Schizosaccharomyces pombe: one gene and its partners. The protein of the gene in region 2 binds, or shares a complex with, the protein of the main gene of each other region. Each region holds a gene or a part of one and is shown on either strand. Other genes may lie near its edges.

Region 1 (4,796 bases), on a different chromosome or scaffold from region 2:
TTTCTGCCATGGCGGAAGCTCATTGCAGTGAAATGTCATCTCGTCGTAACGCCATGGAAAATGCAAGCAAGAGTGCTGGAGATATGATTAACAAGTTTTCCATCCAATATAATCGTCAACGTCAAGCCTCCATTACTAACGAACTTATCGATATCGTTACTGGTGCAAACTCTTTGGCTTAATTCTTGATCTCTTTGGTAAGGTTCAAATGCATGTTAAGATTTTTAAATTAAAGAAGTTTGTGAAATATAAGCGCTGAAGTCAACGATATTTCTTGTCTATTTAGCTTAACTTTTTACCTTTATACCATTTGAACCGTAATTCATTGAAAACGTTCAGATTAAGCTTACCTTTTGTTCTTAATAAATTTACGTCCATCTTTTTATCGTAAGTATTTTTCATGTAGAGAATGTTGAAGAGGTTTTTGTAAAGCATGTAAGTGTGCGCAACTTAACTGAGTAGCCATTTGTGATAGCTAATATGGGCTGATCAAGCAAATTTGTTAAGATGACAGAGGAGTCCTAGTATTGTATTGTTTTAGAACTAAATTGAGTAATACATGTGGAAATTAAAGAATGGAAGCACCTGACGCAATAGATTAACAGTTGGAAATATGAGTCACAATTACTACAGATGTATCTCCATGTTTTTCTTAATAAAACACTTGGCATTGCAAAAATGTATTGATTATCTTCGCTGATTGTAAACAAATGGAGTCATGAGACATTTTTTACGTTGTTATTATAAGTATATGAAGATTTTAAACAAGCTAATCACAGCTAGTTTGAACAAAGGTAATGTTAAACTACATAACTACGGAATTTATAAATAAAAGTAAGTTTTTTTCGGAAATTTTTGTTAAGTACTATAAGTGAGTTTCTTACTAAAATTTTGTAAAGTTTGACAACATTTTTGAATAAAAGGCAACTGAATCAGTGGCATGAAACGCAAAATGTTCTAGCCTAATATACAAAATATCACTTAATGATAACGTACGTTTTCACATTTTTTAGAGAAAAATGTGCATTGTAAAGTCTGACTTAACCGATAGGGATTCATCAATTGCAAACATCTAGGAATCAATCGTCTTTGAGACGGAATGGTTTGAAGGTGAGCAGGAACCAGTAGGAGTGCTTTAAACTTCTAAAGGAGGAATGTAAAAAACTAGTTTGTGGTTGATCAAACTCTATGCTAACGTGAATGAAAAGACAGAGATTCTATATTAAACGATAAACGATAAAAAATAAAGATAAAAGAAAATAGAAAGATGATTTTGAAAGAAAATAAAAAGAACCAGTAAAGTATATCTACAGTGAAAAAAAAGTAGGAATTGCCCAAATATGTTGTTAGTCTGTAGCAAACATAAATGGCGAAGATAATTCATTATCATTTTTAGCGACTCCCACATGAAACACTCAGTGAGCTTGATAAAAAAAAGCAGCGTATTGAATGCCTAAAAAGTCAATATGTTTCGCATCCATGAACTAATATTTTTTTGATAAAGTAAAACAGAAACGTTGGAGTTGACAAACTTAACCACCCCGTTGTTGACTAAATTTCATTTGATAATCTTTTTCACGCTTAAATAGCAGGATGTGTGGCTCTGGGACATGGACTTCATACATTTCCCATCCCAGACTCTAAATAAATGTCAGTTTGTTTTTGAGCAGTTAAAATCCTTGATTACTTACTTGAGTAATTCCAAGTCCTCTCCATTCTTCTTCTTGAAGGATTCGAAGCGTTCCAGTCTCTGGATTGAAATAATCGGTGGGTATCGCTTTTAGCATTGCTTTTGGTAACATAACATGTCGATATTCATATTCATCATCAGCATATCTATTTCATCGATTAGCATTTGCTCAAATAAGATACAAGAGTCTCGTTTTAGGGGAAAACAAAGAACCTAGAGAATTCCCAAAGTATGGCAGTTTCTTTAACAATATCATCATACCTAGGAGAATAATGGATTTGATCAATGAATGGCTCTAGACGTTCACGCTCAGAAGCAGTTAAAAGACGTGGCACACCACTTTTCGACATATCTCCTCCTTAATACTCAAAAAGAATAACTTTTCTTTGAGATGGGTAAAGTATAGGATACTCTAGGACTTGGGTGATCCGTTAAAGGTCGCTAAATTTCGTTTTAGACTTAAAGTAACAGTACTCACTTTAGGTAACACACAACTTTGGGCTTCAACTCAACACTCTATACCTAAAACGAAAGTTATCGGTTGCAGAAAACAGGTTTTTTGCGCTAGCTATTTCTTTTTCAAAGCCTTTTTGGTCTATATAATAATTCCCAAAATTCAGTTTATAAAGTGAACGGTTTCTTATTGTAATTCGAAAAATTGTGTATTATTTTGGAATATACAGTCGCAAGCGGACCTAATTAAAGTTGATATACTCTATTCATTGTACATAAACGTTGCAATATAATAAATTATTTAAAATGGTATATTCTCATGTCCCGTGTTTTGTTACAACATACTAATATTTATAGGTTGATGATAGTCATAATGCCCCATTCGATAAGACCAAGTTTGATGAAGTTTTAGAAGCATTGGTGGGTTTAAAGGACAACGAGTATGTATTGAAAGGAGTTAGGTGTCGCATGTCCATTTACTAATAATTTATTTAAAATAGAGGTAATCCATTTGATGACATTTTTGAAGAACTTCCTTCCAAACGATATTTTCCAGATTACTATCAAATCATTCAAAAGCCGATTTGCTACAAGATGATGCGCAACAAGGCGAAGACTGGTAAATATCTGTCAATGGGTGACTTTTACGATGATATTCGGCTTATGGTTAGCAATGCGCAGACTTACAATATGCCTGGAAGCCTCGTCTATGAATGTTCTGTGCTTATTGCAAATACTGCTAATTCATTAGAAAGCAAGGATGGAACTTTGAATGAGGAAGAGAATGAGGAAATGGAGTCAAGCATCAACGAGGAACACAAACCTGGCACTAATGAGATTGATGTTCCAAAGGTTATTCAAAATATCTTAGATGCCTTACATGAAGAAAAGGATGAACAAGGTCGTTTTTTAATTGATATATTTATAGACCTTCCTAGCAAACGTTTGTACCCGGATTACTATGAAATTATCAAATCCCCTATGACTATAAAAATGTTGGAAAAAAGGTTTAAAAAGGGAGAGTATACGACTTTGGAAAGCTTTGTAAAAGACTTAAATCAAATGTTTATTAACGCCAAAACGTATAACGCCCCCGGAAGTTTTGTCTATGAAGATGCTGAAAAGCTTTCTCAACTTTCATCTTCCCTTATTTCTTCATTTTCCGAACAACCTAAGGAACACTCTCCTGCAACTTCAAAGCATGAACCCGAGGAAACCCCCGCATCTCCAACTCCTTCTGTATCTGCTTCAACTTCACGCGAACGTTCTACTTCAGTCGCCCCATCTTTTATAACCAGTGATCAGGCAGCCACTCCAGATGTTTTGAAGTCAGAGGAGGCTCATGTTGAAAGTTTCTCAAAAGAATCTGAAAAGGACCAAACTCCCATACCCGAAGATGTTCCATCACCCATGGATACATTATCTCAAGCTAATTACGGAGCATTTGCCCTTATTAAATCGTTTCCTTCAACTCCTGTTCCGGATTTTTTAAATTTCTCTCATAAATCGGTGATGGGTCGTAGTACTTTTAATATGCCAAATTTTCCAGAACCCAAATTTTTTGAAGACATACCTAATACTGAACGTTGCATTCTTTCTGCATTTATTTGCAGTCCTCCACAATTACCATTGCCGAATCCCCTTCGTATGTATTTGCCTTGCCCAAGCTTAAATTCTACGGAAGTTTCAGTGATTACCTTGGCCCCTCAGCATTCGTTTCTTAATATTGTTATTAACTTAAATCCTGCTCTGGCATTGAAATCATACACCATAATCACATTATTAAATGGAAAGCGTCTAGGTGCTGGCGTGTCTACTCCACCATCTACGCTGTATGCTCTTGAAGGCATAAAGCATACTGAGGAGCCGATCAGAACAGTTTACGAGGCTAAACTTTCTGTTGGTCTAAACTGCCTAGAATTTGTACTGGGTAGCACTGAACCTGTGGAACCACCTTCAATAGAACCTGGTTTACCTGCGTCGGCATATTCTCGGACTGTCGAAAGGGAACGATTTGTGTTGATGGCTTACGTCCAACCATAAGCTACACTTTTTGGATAGAGACAAAATGTATTAATACAAGGAATTAAAATAAATGGTATCATTCGTTTGAAATATGTACAGATTTATTTAATCGTAGTATGATATTAAAGTCACAATTTAACAAAATTAACTTGCTTTCAAAAAGCAAAAGGTATTTCAGGCATTTTTAAAACTTACATAGCTTCAATACATTGATCCAAAGTGGTCTCAGAAAAAAATTTGATGTCTGTATTTGCTTTGGATTTTCTCCAGCCTTCATCGCTTTCAAGCCACCTCCTCCAATTTGTAGTCCTATTTTGTTTCTTGCTTTGAGAGCTTTGATCAACCCAAAGATTGTATGAGTTTATGTAAACGTTTTCGGTATTGGGCTCAAAAAATATGACATAGGTGTCGGTTGAAAAAAACAATTGAAGGTTCGATTTGCAGAAATGTTCATTAAACAAAGAATGCAACCTACCAGAGCCTCGACCTGCGAGATAGCCTTGTTGCGATATTCGTTGAAGTGATCTTCGCAAAAATGGCATTTTAACTTGCATCAAATCGACACCTTCAGTGATATGAGAAATGGCATAGCTATCAACATAGTACATAAATGCCTTCGCAGGATTTT
Region 2 (6,272 bases):
TCAAGCACCCATGATATGAACCGTAAAAAACCTTTCCTTTTTCAGAGACCTGGGTACAGAAACTTGATCACGGTTTATTATAGATAAGGGCCACTGTAAAAACATAATTCAAAAAAATATAAATCAATGTTATCTAAAAAAGCAGAGAAATAAGAAATTTCACTAATCAACAGTAAACGTGTGGGAAAGGTTGAATGTTGTAAGACTAGCGTCACATCCCTCCAAATTATAAATCAGAACAAAATTTATACTGACGCTCACGAAATACAAATTACTGAAGATTCATAAACAGACGATATTTTCCTTGATTTTTGTTTCAAGTTGGTTTTCCCCATTTTGAAACTATTTGGTATACCAATTGCACCAGAACTGAAAGTATAGTAGACATTTACTTTTCGTGAGAATTAGAGAATTTCTTAAAATTATTTTTCTTCTCGATTTGACTGTCATTTCACAATGCCTATTGTGAACGGTTTTAAAGTAGGACCTATTGGCTTAGGCCTTATGGGTTTAACTTGGAGACCCAAGCAAACTCCCATTAAACAAGCCTTTGAGTTAATGAATTACGCCTTGTCCCAAGGTTCGAACTATTGGAATGCTGGAGAATTCTATGGCATCAATCCTCCTACTGCCAATTTAGATTTGTTGGCTGATTATTTTGAAAAGTATCCAAAAAATGCCGATAAAGTATTTTTATCAGTTAAGGGAGGAACAGATTTTAAAACACTCGCTCCCCATGGAGATCCTGAATCAGTGACTAAGAGTGTAAAAAATGCACTTACTCGTTTACGTGGAAAGAAAAAGCTAGATCTCTTCCAATGTGCCCGAGTTGATCACAAAGTTCCAATTGAAACTACCATGAAAGCATTGAAGGCTTTTGTAGACTCAGGAGAAATTTCATGTGTCGGTCTTAGCGAGGCTTCTGCTGAAAGCATCAAACGCGCCCTTGCCATCGTGCCTATTGCGGCAGTCGAAACCGAATACTCTCTATTCTCACGAGATATCGAGAAAAATGGCATTCTCGATACTTGTACACAGCTCTCTATCCCAATAATCGCTTACGCGCCTTTCTGTCATGGACTTTTAACTGGGCGTGTCAAGACTGCTGAAGATCTTAAAGACTTTATCAAAGCATTTCCCTTCTTACGGAATATGGACAAGTTTAATCCAAAAGTTTTTGAAAAAAATATCCCGTTTCTTAAAGCAGTCGAGCAATTGGCTCAAAAGTTTGGTATGAGTATGCCTGAATTCGCTCTTAACTTCATTATTGCAAACGGAAAAGGCATGATCATTCCTATTCCTGGATCTACAACTGTTCAACGAGCTGAGAGCAATCTTAGTGCACTCAAGAAATCTTTGAGTTCAGAACAACTTGAAGAGGCTAAAAAAGTTTTGGATAAACATCAAATCTTTGGACTTCGTTACAACAAACAACTTGAATCCACCCTTTCCATCTGAGCATGATTTTAGCAACTTCACCGATTTGAGTTTTTTATTTAATATTTGCATTTAACCTTAACTCCTCTCTAGATTTAGATGTATACATGCTGTGTCATCCTATCGGCATCAATACAATAAAATATTTCTTTAAAAACTAAGACTGTAGTCTTTGAGTTTATTCACACCTTTATATATTATTCTCTATTGTCAGTGATTTATCTTACACTGTGTAAAAAATAGAAAGTAAGGTAGTGTAAGGAACAAGAAAACTTTCAATAAGCTTTGGGTATAATTGAATAATCAGAAACTTCCTTTACACAGAATAATCATGACTTTGGTGACACAATTTTTTAGAATGTCAACTGCTCTGCATAAAGTAATTTAGGAACGAAATTGTAGCCTTGATATAAATTCAACCCTAAAGTATTATGATGGTCTACGGTTATTTCGGTCTAGTCGACGATGCACAAAATGAGATGTCAATAAGCGCGATGCTTCAATCATTTTCTTGAAACTTATTTTAATCAATAGGAATTATCTACAGATAGGTTACGCTCGATTATTAATTGCGATAAGAATTTACATTGAATTGGTTGCCAAGGCTGGAGATTCATTTTTGAATTCAATACAACAATGAAAACCCAACGTATTATGGTGCTTCAAAAAGCGGTGTAGTAGAAAGTATTTTATTTAACTGCTAGTATCTTCTACGACTGACAATCGTTACTCATTTCTTAGGTGTTTTCAATCCTGCATCTAGGAAGACGATCATCATTCTTACTCTTATTGTTTCCGCCAATATGCTTTTGATATTTAGTTATCTAAATAGTAGGCTGCTTGTATCAGTATAACATGTAGCACCAAGGTATGCGTTACTAACAGTAGGATGGGTTTAGTGGTAGTTGTGCTAACTATAACCAAACTCACCACCAAAAAAAGCAATTTTTAACACAGTGCTATTCAGTACGATAAGATTGAACTGTTTATGGAATAAACACCTTGCAATTAAAGTATGGATTCTACGGCTGGCTCCGATGCTTCCACTCCTACAAATCACACGGTAAGCTCGAAGAAGCGAAGAGGACGCCCTCCTAAGGGTAGTTACGCCGCATATGGAAGTAGTGATGATGATGATGAAGAATACTCTGGGCGTACGCGTCGTAGAAATCGTAATACTCGCCCTAGAGTTTCAGCGCCGTCTTCTAGCTCAACAGTAGTACCGAAGGATTTGTACTCACATCGGGCTACTTTGGAAGATGATGAGCTAAACTTTGGTGTAGTAGATCCAGAAGGAGAGAAAAAAGTGAATGAATTGGGGTATTTGAATGGCGGTCGAGAGTATAGATGTCGAACGTTCACGTGCTTAGGTCGTGGTAATCGATTGTATATGCTTTCCACCGAACCAGCGAGAGCAATGGGCTATAGAGATTCGTATTTATTATTTTTGAAGCATCGTTCACTGCATAAAATTATTGTTGATGATTCTGAGAAATGGGACCTTATTGAACGAAATATTATTCCTCATTCTTACAAAGGCCGTGCGGTAGGTATTGTTGCTGCTCGTTCTATCTTTCGTGAATTTGGTGCTAGAATCATCGTTGGTGGTCGACGAATTGTAGACGATTACTGGGAAGGAGAATTCCGCGCTCGTGGTTTCGTCGAAGGAGAATTAGCTGATCCAGACGATAAATTGCCTCCTCCCGGTATGCCATACAATCGAAATCAATACGTCGCTTGGCATGGAGCTAGTGCAGTATATCACCCGCAGCCTTCACTAGAAGCTCAGCTGCCTGCAGCTGCTCGAAAAAGAAAAAAGGAACCTCCAAAAGATGCCACATGGCTTTTTCAACATGCTAAAGCAACTGCAGCTTACAATAATGATATTACAAAATACCTTGTTCAAAAACAGGATATCGGTTATTTTGAACCACATACTAACTTGTTGCATGTTCCCCTTAATACCCAACCTACAAAAACCCATTGGATTCAGGCAAAGACTGGTACGGAATGTCCTGCACCTAAATTGGATATTCTCGTTGCTCTTAACTCGGATGTGGCTCCACAGGTGTCTATTGCAAATATCCCTCCCTCCGTTTATGCGAGTTGTCCACTCCACGTTCAAGAGGCTATTCGCAAACGTCAAGAACAAGAGATTCGTAGTATTCGTTTGAATAGCATGTACTAGAGTGCTCGTTTTCTTTTAATCCTATTTTGTTTTGGATGTTTTATAATATTAATTTTCAGATTGTATACAGTCATTTATCACACGTACGACGTAAGCCCGAATTATCTTCTTACTCGAGTTATTTACGGAGAAAACATGCGTTAACGAAATCCAAAACTTGTTAATCAATTACTTTAGTACTTTGTTTTTGCTTAGTAAAGCGGAAAAAAAGATATTGTCTACAAAAATCAGATGTACATTCAACAAAACTATTAAAGAAATGATGGCGCGACGTTTCCATTGAATGAAACGTTTACCAACCGAAACCAATCGATTAGCTTGTATCCTCTCACTTGTCCTAATCGGTCCAGCCGAGGGCGAAGAATATTATGGAGGATTGTTTGATGAATTATTGGGCATGGTCAGGTCGTAGGTTAAAAACTTTAGGTAAGTCAAAACGTGGCTTTGGCGAAGGAGTATTTGTGAGAAGAACGATTGCTGTTATAATGAATATTAAATAAGCAAAACCGATCACCATCCACATTATAAAGAAAAAACCATTGAATCCCTTCAAATAATACACCAGGTCGACAATATAAGCAACCAAGTGGAGGACAAGGAAAACATACCCGAATTGTCGAAGAATGATAAACTTCTTCATCGTCGCCTGGGTGTACATTTTATATGTGAGCTCACCTCTTACTGCTATCCTGTCGTACCCTGCCATGATGATGAAACCGAGAGAAGTAGATATTCGTGTAACGTGCTTCAAAAAAAAAGAGCGTTTTAAGCAGACGAGAACGGTAAATAAAAAAATGGCTCTTCACGACAAATAAAAAAAAAAGAATGGACTAATTTTCAAGTCCAAGGTGTGTCGCAAAATGTATCTCATCAATATTAAATAGTGAGATCATTCGACGTAATAAATCTTCTATGGACTGAAAGCTATGATTTTTTTGGCATTTTACATTCATCCATTTCCTTGTGTCCTAAGATTTTTTGTTTACTTAGTCTGTTTTGATTACGAAGCAATGAGTGCAAGAGGATCCATTTAACTGCAAGAATTTCGATCACAACTTCCAAACGTCGAGTGCAGAGAATGGATTGACAAACAAAGTTATTATTCTATAAAAGACCAAACTGATAATTTTACTGTTTTTATCTCTTTTCATTGCGGATACAATGTGCTTTACCGCTTTATCATTTTTATAGTAACTATTGAATCATCGAATCTGGAAAATGGTACAGATTTATCACTCGTTGCTGTTGCCGATTTCATCTTTAACACTATCAATATTGTATCTATTATTGCCATGATTTTTTATACTCTTAAAAAGTTCGATATTGAAATCACTAGAGAAGTAATGGATTATTTTACAAGATATTTTGACGGACAGAAATTGAAGAAAAATAACGTATAAATTCAATCATTTAGTCACCTTATTCAATGTTTTTCTAAGAAACAACGCTTCAGCATACTAGCTTTAATGGAAAAATTAACGAAATTCAAGTTTCCATAGAATGGGTGGTGAAGTATGAGAACACATAAGCTGTTAAACTTACAAAATTAGCTTTTAGGAAATTACCAAAGAAAAAAAATCTCAGAAGGAAGAAGCTCAATGTGAATTGCTAATCACCGCAATAAAACTTATTTGGCATTCATTCCGTGACGTTGATCAGGTTCAGTCATAAAGACTGGAGTGTATTTATAGAGGATCATTAGATATATTTTCATCATCGGTCTGACTCTTTGGCTCAAGGCATTGCTTATGAGGAATTTGGTTGACTAGAAAACCTAAGGAGCTGCCAATAATTGATTTGAGGATTATGTTATTAATTTTACATTTTTGGGACCTTCAAATTTTTAAAGTGCATTCATCTTGCTCATATTTTGTATAAAGTTAACAGTGGACCAAGGTTGGAGCACGCCGTCTGCCGGAACTGACATAATACTGAACAGCATAAACTTCATAGTTGTTTGTGTCGTGTTTATTTTTGGTACTTATAAACTCAATATTCTTTGCAAAAAACATGAGCTAGATGAATATTGAGAGATTTCTGAAAAAGCCGTAGTATGAAGAATGAATTTTTATATACAATTTTGAGTCTACAAATAAAATGTACACGTATCCCGCCTAATACCATTTTTGTAAAGTGACTTGTATAGTATTGTTGAGAACAACAAAAATGGAAATGCCCGCTCAATTTCTTTTAACTTTGTGCAAAAGAATAAATAGTGTCCAGTAGCTTACAATTGCAATAAAGAAGAATTTAACTTTTATAACTTGAGATGAAACAAAAATAGATAATTAAATAAGCAATAATAATAAAAAAGAAACGAGAATCTCGAATTTTCAAAGTTTTAACTACCATACTCATTTCGTCTCGACAAGCTGTTTTGTGTTGATAATTTAAATTGTTTAATTATGAGAAATTAAAAGTCTAAGCACTGTAAGTTGACTGAAGTAAAAAGAGTTACTTTCGAAAACGACTCTATTCAAAATCCCTACATCGTATTCATTCAATAACGACTACCGCTGTAAAACCCAAATAATCATTCATTACTTTAATTAACAATCATCATACAAAACAGATTTTTTATAAAGAATTTTAAAAGGATTAAAAATGCATTATATTATTGCTAGTTGTTAAAAGAATTAAACAGAAA
Region 3 (5,455 bases), on a different chromosome or scaffold from region 2:
GCTTAGGAGTTTGGCCTTTTAGCTCAGAAGGTTTCACAACGGCTTGTAGTCTACTCTGGTCTGTCTCGAAGCCCTTTCCGGCTGAAATTCAAGTTCTTTCAGTAGATGATATTTCTACCTTGATTTTATTCAGCTCGACTCATGGTTCGTTGGAAGCACAATCTAGGTTGCTCGGTGCCTTTGGAAGTTTAGGACGCTGTGGCAACATACAAATAAACCAACTTCTTGGGCAGACTTTAATGTCATGTGTAATAGCTTCTGATCCAAATCCTCTACTTGCAGTGGAGGCATTGAATGCCATATTTGATGTATACGGCGATAAGTCATATCCATATGATGCTCCTGTTTTTAAGGGATCCGGATATCTTTCACAACTTTCAGAAGCCCTACCGCGATTAAAAAATATGGTGAAAAAAATTGACCGTCGTCGAGAAAAGCATTTGCGGTTCCGTGCTGAAGAAGCTTTAGAAAATTTAGAATCTTTTATAGATTACAAACATGCTGAATATGCTTCATAATACAATCTTTTTGAAAGGTTTAGCTTTTGTTTGTTTTATTTTAATTATTTTAATTAACTAGGGTGGTACATTTATTAACTTGGGTTCCTTTTTTTCTTTTAGATTGGACAAAAGAAGAAAAAAACATTTACTAAATAGTTTAAAAAAGAAAATTGACCAATCACACATCCTTCATAAAACAAGTAAACGTCGTTGACATATATGTACATAGTAATCTGAGATATGAAAAGTGATGTCGAGATGCTTGACCTTAGCAATGAGATTTAAAAGACATGTTATGACTATCGAGCCATCCAAAATTTATATTTGACCAAGAAGCATCTCACTGACATAGGGTGCAACAGCAGGATTTAAACTACTAACCTCTAAAACACGACTTTCAATTGCAGAAAACAGCATCTTACCTTGTTTGGAGCGTACAAGATTTCTTAAGACCAGAGTAGCAGTAAGTGCAATTCCAGTTGCATCGCCTTGATCATCGACAGCTGTTAGTAATAACGGGATACGGAATTCTCTTGATGGAGATAGTTTTCGTCCCTCAACCAAAGTTTCTAGTGAATCATCATGAAGGTGCGTAACGATGTGAGACAACAACTGATAATGCGACAGCTCTGAAGCAGGCGTAAGCCTTTGGATTTCATATTTACAATCGCTCCACCTGCATTTCCCTGTTTCCAATATTTGTGGGAATATATGCATTTCCTGTAAATGAGAATGTAATAATGGAGTTCCCAATAAGAGCTCCCCACACTCTTTCCCGCTATCTAAACACCACCGACACGGTTGATATCTCATTCCATTTACAGAAGTAGGAAATTTACGACGCTTGATACCATTTATAACGTATTCAACCGGCAATTGAGGGGTCGACACAGTCATCGCACGGGCGTTATAAAAGGCATGACTTGATACTTTAATAAAATCGGCAGGACTTATACCCATAACATTGGGCCCCTGAGCACGTTCCATGTCGCTGCAATACAATTGCCAAATATCTGTCTGTAAAACATAATCATCAGAACTTGGTTCAAAGCAACACCTCATCCATTTTACAGACCGTTCAGGTTCTCTCATAGCTACCAATTGCTGTAGCTCTTCCATAGGCAAAGAAATGGAAGATGTGGCTTCATGTTTTACAGCAGGGTTCGATTCACTATTTTCAATTGTCACGGTCATAAATCTTTCTTGGGCTTGATACATCATTAAACGTATTAATTGATCAACGAGCATCCACGCTTCCTGACTTGCAAGTAGATTTGATGTATTGGTTCGGTAGGTAGTATATTGATATAAAAAGTCAAGAGCAGCGGCAACAATTTCCTCATTGTCCGTTTCCACTAGAGCAATTATGTTTGCAATTACATTAGATTTTAGATCTTGTAGCAGTCGATTGTTACGATCATTAAGAGCTAAGCGCGCAAGGGTGCGAAGAGTTGCAATTAAGATTGAATAATCTGAAGAATTAAGAAACTCACAAAGCGCCAAGTAAAATACATTTTTCTCGTCCTCAACATGAAGGTATGAACTAATCATTTCTGAAATATCCAAACAATAGTGTAAAAACTCCAAATTATTAAACGTTTTTGCACATCGAATGGAAGCTTCTAAAACTGAAATGACAAGTTTGGTTTGGGCAACATGCTTAGCATTTTCAACACTAAGGACAGAATTACGGAGGACTAAAGCAATTCCGATTGCTCTATCCATACAAAGTGAAATGTCTGTTAGGTCTGAAACTTGCTTGGCTTTTGTGACTTGGAATCCTAGACTGTAAACTAAACACTCTGCAAGTGACGGTAATCTTTCCAACTTAAACTCCTGATGCCTTTCAAAGGAAATTTTGATAAGATGACCAATAGCCCAGTCAACTTCTTTGTCTTGCTGAGACTTTAGGGCCAGCGCAACACGCACTAGCAATGGAGGACCAGGGACGCCAGCACCCAAAGCCGGAGGTGTCAAATTTGAATTACGGTCAATATACTTTTGCAAACCTGAATCCACGGGTAAGGGATGGAAGGGCACTGAAGGAAAAGTTGTAGATGCAAAATTTGTAGAATTTGGAAGAGGTTGAGAAGCAGAAGAGTTCATAGCTTCATTTATTTTTTTTTCAATACCATTCTCTTCGTCCTCCTTAACAAGGCTTTTATAAAATTTTTTAAAAGAATGAGTCTTATCATTGTCTATAATGGTAATTGGATTCGTTGGCTTAGGTGGAGAACAAGAATTAAAAACCTTTACACGTTCAAGAACGTTCTGCCTGTTTTCACTTAGTTCTAACGTAGAAGGAGGAGGTAATAATAGGTGCCAATGATCATGAATTTCCCATGAAATTAAATATTTGAAATACACATTTTGCAATATGCCAGCAGATCTAGCCGGGTCGGACTGATTGAATTCTTCTGCAATATTCGTCCAACCGTCTTCAGTCGCACTGACAGCATCATAACCGCCGCGTTTAATGACCTTTTTATAAAGCTCATATAATAAAATAGGTTTTCGCCCAATTTTAGGATTGATATCTATTGGAACGCTAAAAAGGATTAGAAGTGGTACACATAGAGAATTAAAATAAGGATTACCTACCCTCTTTCTTGGGAGAAAGACTCAATTAGGCTTAAGAAAGAGTCATTTTCGTTTGTCAATGATTTATTACTATAAACCGGCTCTTCTACTGCTCCCTGAATGACTTGTGACATGAAGCGCGCGTCGTAAAGTAAGTAGGTGGTCAAAAGTAGTATAACGAAACCTTTCACAACTTTTCGAAATACTAAGTGGGGGAGACCTTGGGCAGTTGAAATGAATACATGGGGTAGGCAATTTACAACAACGAACACTACATTTCACTATACTATGCTGTATTAAATGTATTACATGTCCCCATGTTCTTCTTTGTATGAGTAACTGGTTCTACCGATACAACAAGCTTTCTTTGAATTTTGATTTTTAAATAAAATTTCATATCCATTATTTCCGTTTTATCTTTCAACTGTCTATTAAATAAACTTGTTTTTGTGACTAATCTACACTTGTTTATTCATATCATCTACTTAAGAGAATGTACTGAGTACAGAAAATGCTTATCGCAGTCTAACGATGTTTTGTAATTTTGCAAAGTGTATATGACCTTGATGGTATATATCTTTAGTCTCTAGTGGGGTAAAAGTTCTCAAACGGGGGCCAAATTGTATTATTACTTTGGAAGTAGTATCTTGCTGTACAAAAGTATAAAAAAAGTCTCACATATTACCTTTACCACCAAATATCTAGACTTGCCAAATGGAGCAATTTTCGTAAAATAATACAACAGATATAACTTGCTATTCCTTTAATTATTATTACCTTTACGTTCAAAAGACAATCCATTTGTACTGAATGGCTGATCCACTATACTCTTCGTTGAAAACTGTCAATTCAACTTCTAAAGTGACACCCGAATCCCTGGTATTTCAAACAAAAATCCTAACACCTGAAGAGGCAAAAAATGTTATAAACGAAAAAATTGCTTTCAAACCGCTTTTACTTGTCCCTTCTCTAAACTTAGAAAAACAAGGAGATCGAAAAGAGTCGGTTGCTTCAAAGAAAAGGAAAAAGTTGTCTTCAAAGGAGAAAAAAAAGCTGCAATTAAATGTTGTTCCAAAGATTGCTGACTATAGCCAATTCAAACATTTACATTCCATGTGGTGCTCTTACATATTAGAAGTGATAGCAGGATGCACAGGTGAATCTTTAATGGCCAAATTAGCAAAAGCAGAATATCAAGGTGCATATATGCAAGTTCTTCGGAGTAAAAGTACTACGCGAGTCGGACTTGAAGGTATTTGTATCCACGAAAGTAAACATATGCTCTCTTTAATTACTAAAGAAAACAGGGTTGTTCGTAAGTACCATTTTCAAAACATTGTATTTTGAAAAATATCTTTGCTGAGTAACTTTTTACTAATTCGTCTAGGTGTTCCCAAACAAGATTCTGTTATGAAAGTTATCGTTGATGTTCCCCAAAGGAAACTTGTTTTTGAATTGTATACTCAACATTTACTATTGAGAGCAGGTGATAGATCGAATAAGCGTTTTAAATCGAAAAATACAATAGATCTCTGAAAGTTGTTAATTACGTGATTCTCTTAGAGAATCGTACTTGCGATTGATTGAAATGGAATACTAGAGTGGTTTCTTTTTATTAGTGTATATATATTGGCAATTTCGTACAAATACTTAATATTGCTTACAGAGCACGCAGTGTAGACAATAACTTGTTCATACTTGGCAATATTGTATGTTTGCTGTATATTGTAGAGCTTAAACGACGCCAGTCTCTAAAATACTTTCAGAGCACAGATCTTTTTCCATTGTATTTATTGATCCAACATTTTAATACTAATTTTCGTTTACTGAATTTCTAAAGTATAAGTGATAAATCGCGCCTTTATGCAATTCTTCGCTATAAGATTATAGCCTTCGATTTTTTGATTCACGGGCAATAATATAAGATGTTACTGAAGTGTACGATAACTAAGACAAGTGAATGGAATGCATAGGATAAAACGAAGATTATGTCAAAGTCGTTTAAGAGCAAGATATGCTTTTGGGATTTTTGTTTGAAAAGGGACGTAAGTAACTTGTTACCTCTGCAATTGGACTGATTTAAGTGCTATGTAAACTACTAACATATCTTGAGTAAAAGCTTGTAGCTTTACAACAAGGTCTCATTTGCCTTCGTGATTTGAGCATCCTTGTATATTTTTTATGGATGGAGTGGGATGCTGATGATTTGCTAATAGAACCGACAACAGAAGTGGAGAATGATTATGAGGATTTATGTACTCAATGGGTGAATGAGCGAATGGCTCCGGATTTGTTGCCTTTTGCTGAAGAAATTGTAAGCAGAGTTCTTGATAGAATTGAAGCACAACGAGAAACTCTACAATTGGCCATTGGAA

Evidence for each region. Proteins that work in one complex are often made in the same cells at the same time.
Region 1: rsc7 (region 2) and rsc4 share a complex: the UniProt entries of both Schizosaccharomyces pombe proteins name them as parts of the RSC complex.
Region 3: rsc7 (region 2) and rsc9 share a complex: the UniProt entries of both Schizosaccharomyces pombe proteins name them as parts of the RSC complex.

What each region holds. Positions count from the first base shown.
Region 1 is NC_003423.3:1,086,739-1,091,534, forward strand, and holds rsc4 (RSC complex bromodomain subunit Rsc4), read left to right. Parts: upstream 1-2,226; 5' UTR 2,227-2,449; coding exon 2,450-2,452; exon of another isoform or gene 2,453-2,500; coding exon 2,501-2,583; exon of another isoform or gene 2,584-2,643; coding exon 2,644-4,186; 3' UTR 4,187-4,296; downstream 4,297-4,796. Other genes in the region: F1-ATPase gamma subunit atp3, read left to right, coding at 1-182; cyclin-dependent protein kinase regulatory subunit Suc1, read right to left, coding at 1,533-1,640, 1,692-1,836, 1,952-2,040; SIN3 family co-repressor, Clr6 and Rpd3L histone deacetylase complex subunit Pst3, read right to left, coding at 4,360-4,796. UniProt on the Schizosaccharomyces pombe protein: Component of the chromatin structure remodeling complex (RSC), which is involved in transcription regulation and nucleosome positioning. Controls particularly membrane and organelle development genes.
Region 2 is NC_003421.2:1,386,346-1,392,617, forward strand, and holds rsc7 (RSC complex subunit Rsc7), read left to right. Parts: upstream 1-2,359; 5' UTR 2,360-2,452; coding exon 2,453-3,625; 3' UTR 3,626-5,743; downstream 5,744-6,272. Other genes in the region: akr7 (pyridoxal reductase), read left to right, coding at 457-1,458. UniProt on the Schizosaccharomyces pombe protein: Component of the chromatin structure remodeling complex (RSC), which is involved in transcription regulation and nucleosome positioning. Controls particularly membrane and organelle development genes.
Region 3 is NC_003423.3:2,914,031-2,919,485, reverse strand, and holds rsc9 (RSC complex subunit Rsc9), read right to left. Parts: upstream 3,229-5,455; 5' UTR 3,215-3,228; coding exon 3,102-3,214; exon of another isoform or gene 3,049-3,101; coding exon 819-3,048; 3' UTR 519-818; downstream 1-518. Other genes in the region: syo2 (ARM-like repeat-containing protein), read left to right, coding at 1-518; pop4 (Rnase P/MRP subunit), read left to right, coding at 3,891-4,395, 4,468-4,616; GINS complex subunit Sld5, read left to right, coding at 5,266-5,455. UniProt on the Schizosaccharomyces pombe protein: Component of the chromatin structure remodeling complex (RSC), which is involved in transcription regulation and nucleosome positioning. Controls particularly membrane and organelle development genes.